Linked DNA regions of Bombyx mori. The protein of the gene in region 1 binds, or shares a complex with, the protein of each later gene. Links are inferred from orthologs where the notes say so. Each region holds a gene or a part of one and is shown on either strand. Other genes may lie near its edges. The genes, in order: PDZ domain-containing protein 8 and Rab7.

Region 1 (3,834 bases):
AGACTCCGCGGCACGCTTCTTACCCTTCTGTACCAGGGTGAATCCATCCGTCGATGAGGCGGGGGCGAAGTCGACCTCCATATCCGAGTCAGAGTCGGAGCACGAGGAGGCGGGTGCAGGCGACCTACGAGCAAGTGTAGGTGTTTTAGAGGGCGCGACGGAGGCCGCGGATGATCGCTCAGCTGAAACGATGGTCACGGCGGACGACGCAGCAGCTTTTCTTGCCAGTATAGGCGACACGGGAGCGGCAGGCACGACAGAGGCTGCGGTGCTCAATGCAGAAGCTCTGCACGCAGGTACAGGCGACGCAGGAGCAGCGAGCGCGGCGGAGTCCTCGAGAGGGCTCGCAGTGCGATTGGCCTTGAAGGCCAGAAACTCTGAGGCGAGCTGTGGGTGGCGAAGTCGGAGGAATTCCGCGAATACAGCGTCCATGATCGCTGAGTACCCAGGTGGGGCGGCCCCGGGTCTTGAAAACACTCGCCTTGCGGCGAGGCCCCAACTTCTCGGACCTGAGCGGTTCTATTGAACACAGGTGGCAATGCGGCGCGATTACTACAGGACAAAGAAAAAGCACAACAAAACAGAAATTACAAAAAGAAACAAAACAAATAAATACTTGCAGGAAAACTCTTTGTCGGCAAATGTTCCACGAACACAAAAATAACTAAAACAAAACAAATAAAAGCTTCCAGGAAACACACTTGGTCGGCAGATGTATCACGAACACAGGCCGCGCGAACAATGGCCGGGCTAACAAAAGCCGGGCGAACAAAGACCGGGCGATCGAGTGGACGATGAGCACGTCCGCATGTGACGGGTGCCTCTATCGGAATGAGTCCGCCATTACATCCACAAGGTATTCGTATATTATACATGTTTTTGGTATTAGAGATTCCGTATTCGGGCAAACAATTTTTGTTATTGATTTTGAGGGGGAACTAGCTCACGGACCATCTAATGTTAAGTGGTTACCGGAGCTCATGGACATCAACAATGTTAATTCCGCCACCCACCATCAGACATAAGTTCTAAAGTCTTAGTTTCTACAGTACGGTTGCCCCACGCTTCAAGCCTTACTGCAAGTATTACTGCTTCACGATATAGTGGTGATACTTAACCGTGTGGACTCACAAGACGTCCTACCACTAGTAATTGCGCAAAAGATATTTTTTGCGGGTTTGTTTTTTATTGCAAGATTGTATTCCTTTACCGTGAACTTCAATTGTGAACATTTGTTATAGATTTCATTACAAAAATTGGTACCCGCCTGCGGGATTTCAACACAGACACAAGCATATAGCTTAATATGCGTATGCACGACGACGCTCAGAGACGTGTACCATACTCAAATCCCGGTTAACCCGTTACAATAACATTATTGGAATACAAAACGGAATAGAACCTAACTATGGAATTTTTCAGAATCGGGCCTTACCGTTGTTTAATTAATATGTTTTGTTTTTAAATACAAAATATCTTACAACTACTATTAAAACAGCTAGCGCTATATGAGTTTATGATAAAGTAGAACAAATGGCTGAAGAATATTCTAAAAAAATGATGTTTTATTTTGGGTCCATTTATGTTTGATATTTTAAAGTTTTTTGCATTTTTCTTTCTTATATCCGGGGACGAATTAGCTATTATCATTGTAATTGTCATTACATATAATTACATTTTATGAATTTAGGCTAGGCCTGAGCTACTTGCCCTCGGAATGGCGAAATTATATTCCAAATCCAGGTGGTAAAGACATGAATATTAGAAAGGGCGTGTCAGACCAAAAAAACTCGATAATAAAAACTTGAGATTTCTTGAGATTTCATATCTTCTGTTTTAAATATTTTATGTATAGAACAAAACAAAAAGCAAGTGTTATTTATTTTAATTAAGCTGTTCGTGTCAATTATACATTATTTCTTCGAAGTATTAACTATGTACAACTCTTATAATAAACTTCAAGTCGAACAATATTATTTACCATAGTTGTTATTCATTTTACCTCCACGGCCTCAGTATTTTTTTCAGTCAAATATTTTCATATTATTATTATTCTATGCAAGTGTCAAGTTCAATCGATCTTCTGTTACAGTAATTGTTTAAAAAATGCATATTTTAATTAACACTTCATTTTAGTGTTTAATAATATATATGTAATTAATTTATTCAGAAACAAAACTAAATATGGATATATATACAAATAAATAAACTATTATGTTTATTTTAACTTATGGTTCTAATTTTACGTAGTAGAATATAATGATATGTATTCTATAACAACTTGTTATTTTTATGATTTGATCATCTATTAATTGGAACGGAAATGAACAATTTTACTGCAATTTCCCAAAATAGCGGGAATGCCTTTACACAATGAGGACAAATTAGGACAGTCACGATAAACGTTGTTAAAAATATATAATAAAACCTGCACAGTCGTAGGGACAAGTCGAATGAGTCCGGGTGTGTTAGAATAGTGTATTGCTTCCCAAATGTCAGCATTCAAGCAATTCGTCTGCGCAGAAAGAACATAACCGTAAACAATAATATTAACAAAAATCAATTATATACTTAAATTTTATGTATATTGTAAATTCGATCGAGTAAATCAGTGAAAATAATAATTAAAATAAAACCGAACATAACTCGCCAAAAATCGTATTATGTTAATTAACCTTGTTAGTAGTGAAAATTTGAAATTTTAGATGATTTTTCTAGAATAATCATTTGAATTTTGAATTTTTTTTAATTCAGTCGACTTCAATTCGTTTTTGAATGGTTGTGTTTGAAATTGTTCTCACCTTCTTCATGAACTTCAAGTGAATCTTTTCTATCGGGTTCTTCGTCGGAGTCAGGATCGGGAACCGAGTCAGCTTCTGTCATAATCAGTTCAGGAGGAGGACAGCTCAAGCCTGTTAATGTATTAAACTATTACTGCGTAATTGTTTTCACGTGATACTAAAAAACTTTTTGGCATCTGAAAAGAGCGACAGTAAATTGGATAGGTATATATTGAACTTGTCCTTGACAATACGGAACGGGTGACGGCATCGCCTTAAATCGAACCATGTAAATAGGATAATTTTTCAAGATCGCACATAAATATTATTTCAAATTTTTTAACTGTTTGGACACAGAGTTCTATATTTTATTTTATGAATTTACACATCCATTTTTATTCTAACTAACACTGACCTATTTCTAAGAAAATACTATTGAGTACAGTTTCAATTATTGATATTAGGTTCTGGTATGCAAAGTAAAGAAGTAATGTAAGTATTTTATAATATTTATAAGGACGAGTAAAAGCTGCGTTTTCATATAAGATTACAGTGATTACAGTGTCCTTTTTCAACTTGTTTGGGACTCTTAGTATCAGATATTATAATAGAATATTTGATGATATTTTCCAATACTTAATTACTGTTTTTCTTAGTCCATAATTGCGTATAACCAGCGATTAATAAATTAAGCCCGTGAGTGCTGTCTAAATATCAAAATCAAAAGTATATTTATGACATTTCAAAAAAAAAAAAAACAAAATTGTCTCGCATAACAATATAGCGCCTCTGTTGAAAAATAAAGATACTCCAAACTACGATGTAAAAAGAAGTACTATATCTATAAACCGGTTCAGCATTGCTTGTCTAGATAAAGCAACACATTATTCCAAAGTGGAACGCTCTTTATTCTTCCGCATGTGTGCCGGCAATAGTCGCACACGTAACCTCTAAAAGAGTTGCCGTGTTCGTGGAATCTTTGTGTGTGTTATTTCTTACACACATTTATTGCGCACCCAAGAATCATTGCGTCGACATTACGCTCTAGATTCAG
Region 2 (3,881 bases), about 3.1 Mb from region 1:
TTCAAAGGGCACCGAGCTCCCGAGCGCTGTGCATATAACGCTTTCAAAAGACATAGCTGTTAGTTTCTTACTGGTGTTTGCATTTTACCGCACGCTGCCACTGGTGATGAGCAGTATTGAAGATTCCACAGTGCTTCCCTCCCAGACTAAGGGCAATAAAAAAAAAAAAAAAAAAAAAAAAGACTGGAGGTCGTGCCTGTAAGCTAGCGTTGTCCGCGCTGAGATTTTCTTGCAAGGGACGCTGCAGATCTATGTTTGTAGTGAATCGACTGCGATGCGTCTAGTCAAGCTTCGGTGCTGTCCCAGGTCCCCAAGTCACTGCATGTGAGAGAGCGCTTAACGTGAAACCGGCTATGGGAGACAAGAGGTTATTTATACTTTTTTGCGTTCTGTGTGATACTCTCTCCCTTTCTTTTTCGATCTCTCTCCCTCCCACTCTCATTCATCCTCTCCGCCTTCCTATCTCTCTTCCGCAGAAATCTCCCACTCGTACTTTACATAAAGCTTTGACCCCACTTTTAACTTATACATCAAAGAAAATTAGATGATATTTACTCTTGTCTTTTGTTGTTTGATTGTCTGATTTAAATTTAACATGTTAAAAACAAAACATTATTTGATGCCTTGAAGGTGATCAATTGACCATCAATTCATAGGTGGCCTTTCGAATTTCTTCTGAAATCATCATTTTTTAAAAATCGGCATGATATGTTTGAATCTGCGTGTGATTTTTCTAAATGTCAGCTGACGTTCAGCTATTGATCTATAGATAGAGGTAGTTTTCCAATTACAGCACAAGAGCGCATTATGCGGCATAATGCTCAACGTTGAATGTTCCAACTACAGCAACTCTTCGCACAATCGAGCACTCTCAAAAGTACTGCTCTCGCGTGATACTTGCAATCGATACCGACTCTGTGACAGAAAATTGACAAGTCTTTTTTCTTTAAGTTGGCATTGATCGAAATTTTGTTTATATTATCGTTAGTAATATTATTTAATGTTGAAAAAAATTGTAAGGCTTTCGTTTCGTCGTAGTTTCTTAGAAATCAATGTTAATTAAAACTGTGCTAACTTAGCGCACTCTGCTGATGCATTTGAAAACTAATTCATGTTCCAATTAAGCTTCAGCATAATTCGGCATTGTGCGTCACTGAGTCGCATTATGCTCTGTAATTGGAAAACTACCAGAGTACCGTACCTATGTAAAATGATTTACCATTTATGTGCTGGTAGCTTCTACGTACTCTATTCCAAAGAGAACAGTAATTGCTCTCTACGCTCGGCTGGTAACCCAGTAAACAGGTGACGCATTTACCATCAATTTCGTTTGATGTCAAAAGTGCAGACAAAGAGTGTGATTAAATTGTATTTTTCATCATTGTGTAAAAATTGTTGTGCAAAATGTCTTCACGGAAAAAGCTCCTGCTAAAGGTAATTATCCTGGGTGACAGCGGTGTTGGAAAAACATCTCTGATGAATCAGTTTGTCAACAAAAAATTTTCCAACCAGTACAAGGCGACAATAGGTGCAGATTTTCTCACAAAAGAAGTAATCGTTGACGATAGAATCGTTACGATGCAAATATGGGATACTGCTGGCCAAGAACGGTTCCAATCGCTTGGAGTAGCTTTCTATCGTGGGGCGGATTGCTGCGTATTAGTTTTTGACGTAACTGCCCCCAACACGTTTAAGTCCTTAGAGAGTTGGAGAGACGAATTCCTGATACAGGCATCACCTCGTGACCCTGATAATTTCCCCTTCGTAATATTGGGAAACAAAGTCGACTTGGATAATCGTGCCGTTTCTGTCAAACGTGGTCAACAATGGTGCCAGAGCAAGAACGACATCCCGTATTTTGAGACAAGTGCCAAAGAAGCTGTCAATGTAGAGCTAGCTTTTCAAACAATAGCACGCAACGCATTGGCACAAGAAACCGAAGCTGAACTCTACAATGAATTCCCCGACCAAATCAAACTGAATGCTAATGACAATGGAAGAAACAGGGACGGTGACAACTGTGCTTGCTAGACCACTGCTACTGCTTCAGCCATGGTTTTTAAAATGTTTCTGGTTTTTATATCCATAAATACATAGTGTAACACTAAGTAACTTGTGTTTTATGGATCATGTAAAAATGTATAGAATCTATAAGTACATTTTAATTTGAATTTTTTATCATGCACCTAATTATGTTGTCAAAATGATGCACTGGTAATTTTTTATTCTGTTCCGGTAATCTGTAAACATGTAAAAAAATGAGAATTGATGTTGACTTAAATACCTATGCCACCTTTTTCTACAATTCAATTTTAAAACAGTTGAATAAACAATCCAAATGAAAAGAATATTAAATTTAAATGTACCATTTCTGTTTGTGTATCAATTTTATTTATCTGTCAACATTAGTTATATGATGCTAAATTTGTTGTCCTTGACTCTAAAACTTTGATTACTCTGAATTTATCTATAGGCATATCTCATTTTTATTCTAATATTGTGATATACATACTTATTTTAATTACTTTATAGATAAATGATATTTAGCAATCATAGTACTATAGTTTTGAGGATAATATTATAACTAGAAGGAGAGCATCTTGTGTCACCATTGTTAAATTCTGTGAAACTGGAGTAGTCTATCTTAATCTATATACTGCATAGTATAAACACATGTAGCATGAATATTTCTGTATGTATATATTTGGAATTTAAATATTAGTTCTAAGTAGTTAATGATAACATTACTCAGCTTATAACAGTTGTGTTTTATGATCAAAGAGCAACAGGAAATAAGATCATATTACGGTGACACAACAAAGTTATAGTAAGGTCATGACACATAAATATAGATTACTTTCAATTCAAATCATTTTCTTCCTTGACTAGTCTGTGATTATCATCTGCAATATGGATCCTTCCAATATTATTTGATAACCTTTATATGCAAATAATTAATCACATTTTTAGCTTAAATGTTTCAGCCAAATTTTCAGCCTCAAGCTTAATTAAAGGCTTTTAAGCATCATGACCTTGCATTTTATAAGAAAGTATTATGTGAAAAAACTCACGTAAATTGCAAGTGTTCTATTAATTAATACATAAAATGCGTAAATTAAGAGTTAGTTTTAATGGAAGGTAACTAAAATTAACATATAATATTATGCTGTAATAATGGTTGCTTTTAATTTTATATCAATAAATAAACCAATATAAATTTGTTGTTTCAATTATGAATTAACATAGTAATAATTTGTTTCTAATTATTGTTGTATATTTATTTGTTTTTATATATTGTGAATAAATATAGACATGTCTGTAGTTCACATGCTGTAATAGTGAAACCTTAGCAAAATATAATGTTTTTAATTTCAGTATTACTTTTGTGTACACTATTGTAAATCACATCAGTGTTAAAGAAGTTTTCACTTCAATAAAATGAAAAAAAAATGGATAATTAAGAAATTTATATAGCTTAAGGAAAAATCTAACCAATAGTTGGTTTGTGAACTCATTGTGGCCTATAGGATAACACAGTCGTGTTATCGAGAGATGTGATAGTATCGGTGCTTAAATCCCTCAGGCAGTTACCAATTTTTCTAACGAAATATGTACCTACCTAATACAAATAGCTTCCACAACGAAGGAAGAACATTTTACAGATAACCCTCTTATAGCTACTGTATATACGTTCCTATAAAGTCCCGTGTTGAGCGAAACCGTGCTATCCAAGAGACTAGAAGCCAGTACAAAAAGGAGAGTAATTTTTCTGAATGAAACATCTCGACTATACCTCTATGTATTCTTTACCTATATACATAAAAAAATAAGCAGCAAAATTTCGGTTATACCAATACGTGGTGTGTTCATAGTGCATAATG

What was found.
Region 2: the proteins of PDZ domain-containing protein 8 (region 1) and Rab7 are in contact, whole or in part, in a crystal structure (PDB 7F6J), measured with the Homo sapiens proteins. The link is inferred for Bombyx mori from reciprocal best matches to the Homo sapiens genes PDZD8 and RAB7A. Residues at the interface, in NP_776152.1 of Homo sapiens: Ile999, Lys1000, Leu1001, Val1002, Arg1003, Lys1004, Glu1005, Gly1007, Leu1008, Asp1009, Asp1010, Phe1013, Ile1014, Lys1017, Gln1044, Leu1051, Asn1054, Asn1055, Val1058, Leu1077, Leu1084, Gln1085, Thr1088, Ile1092; in NP_004628.4 of Homo sapiens: Lys10, Leu14, Asp16, Ser17, Lys38, Ile41, Gly42, Ala43, Asp44, Phe45, Gln60, Trp62, Gly66, Glu68, Arg69, Phe70, Gln71, Ser72, Leu73, Gly74, Val75, Ala76, Phe77, Tyr78, Arg79, Thr98, Ser101, Trp102, Glu105, Phe106.

The regions. Positions count from the first base shown.
Region 1 is NC_085121.1:4,642,819-4,646,652, reverse strand, and holds part of PDZ domain-containing protein 8, read right to left. Parts: intron 2,913-3,834; coding exon 2,802-2,912; intron 2,516-2,801; exon of another isoform or gene 2,429-2,515; intron 1-2,428. UniProt on the Homo sapiens protein: Molecular tethering protein that connects endoplasmic reticulum and mitochondria membranes. PDZD8-dependent endoplasmic reticulum-mitochondria membrane tethering is essential for endoplasmic reticulum-mitochondria Ca(2+) transfer.
Region 2 is NC_085121.1:7,694,930-7,698,810, forward strand, and holds Rab7 (Rab7), read left to right. Parts: upstream 1-1,325; 5' UTR 1,326-1,404; coding exon 1,405-2,031; 3' UTR 2,032-3,217; downstream 3,218-3,881.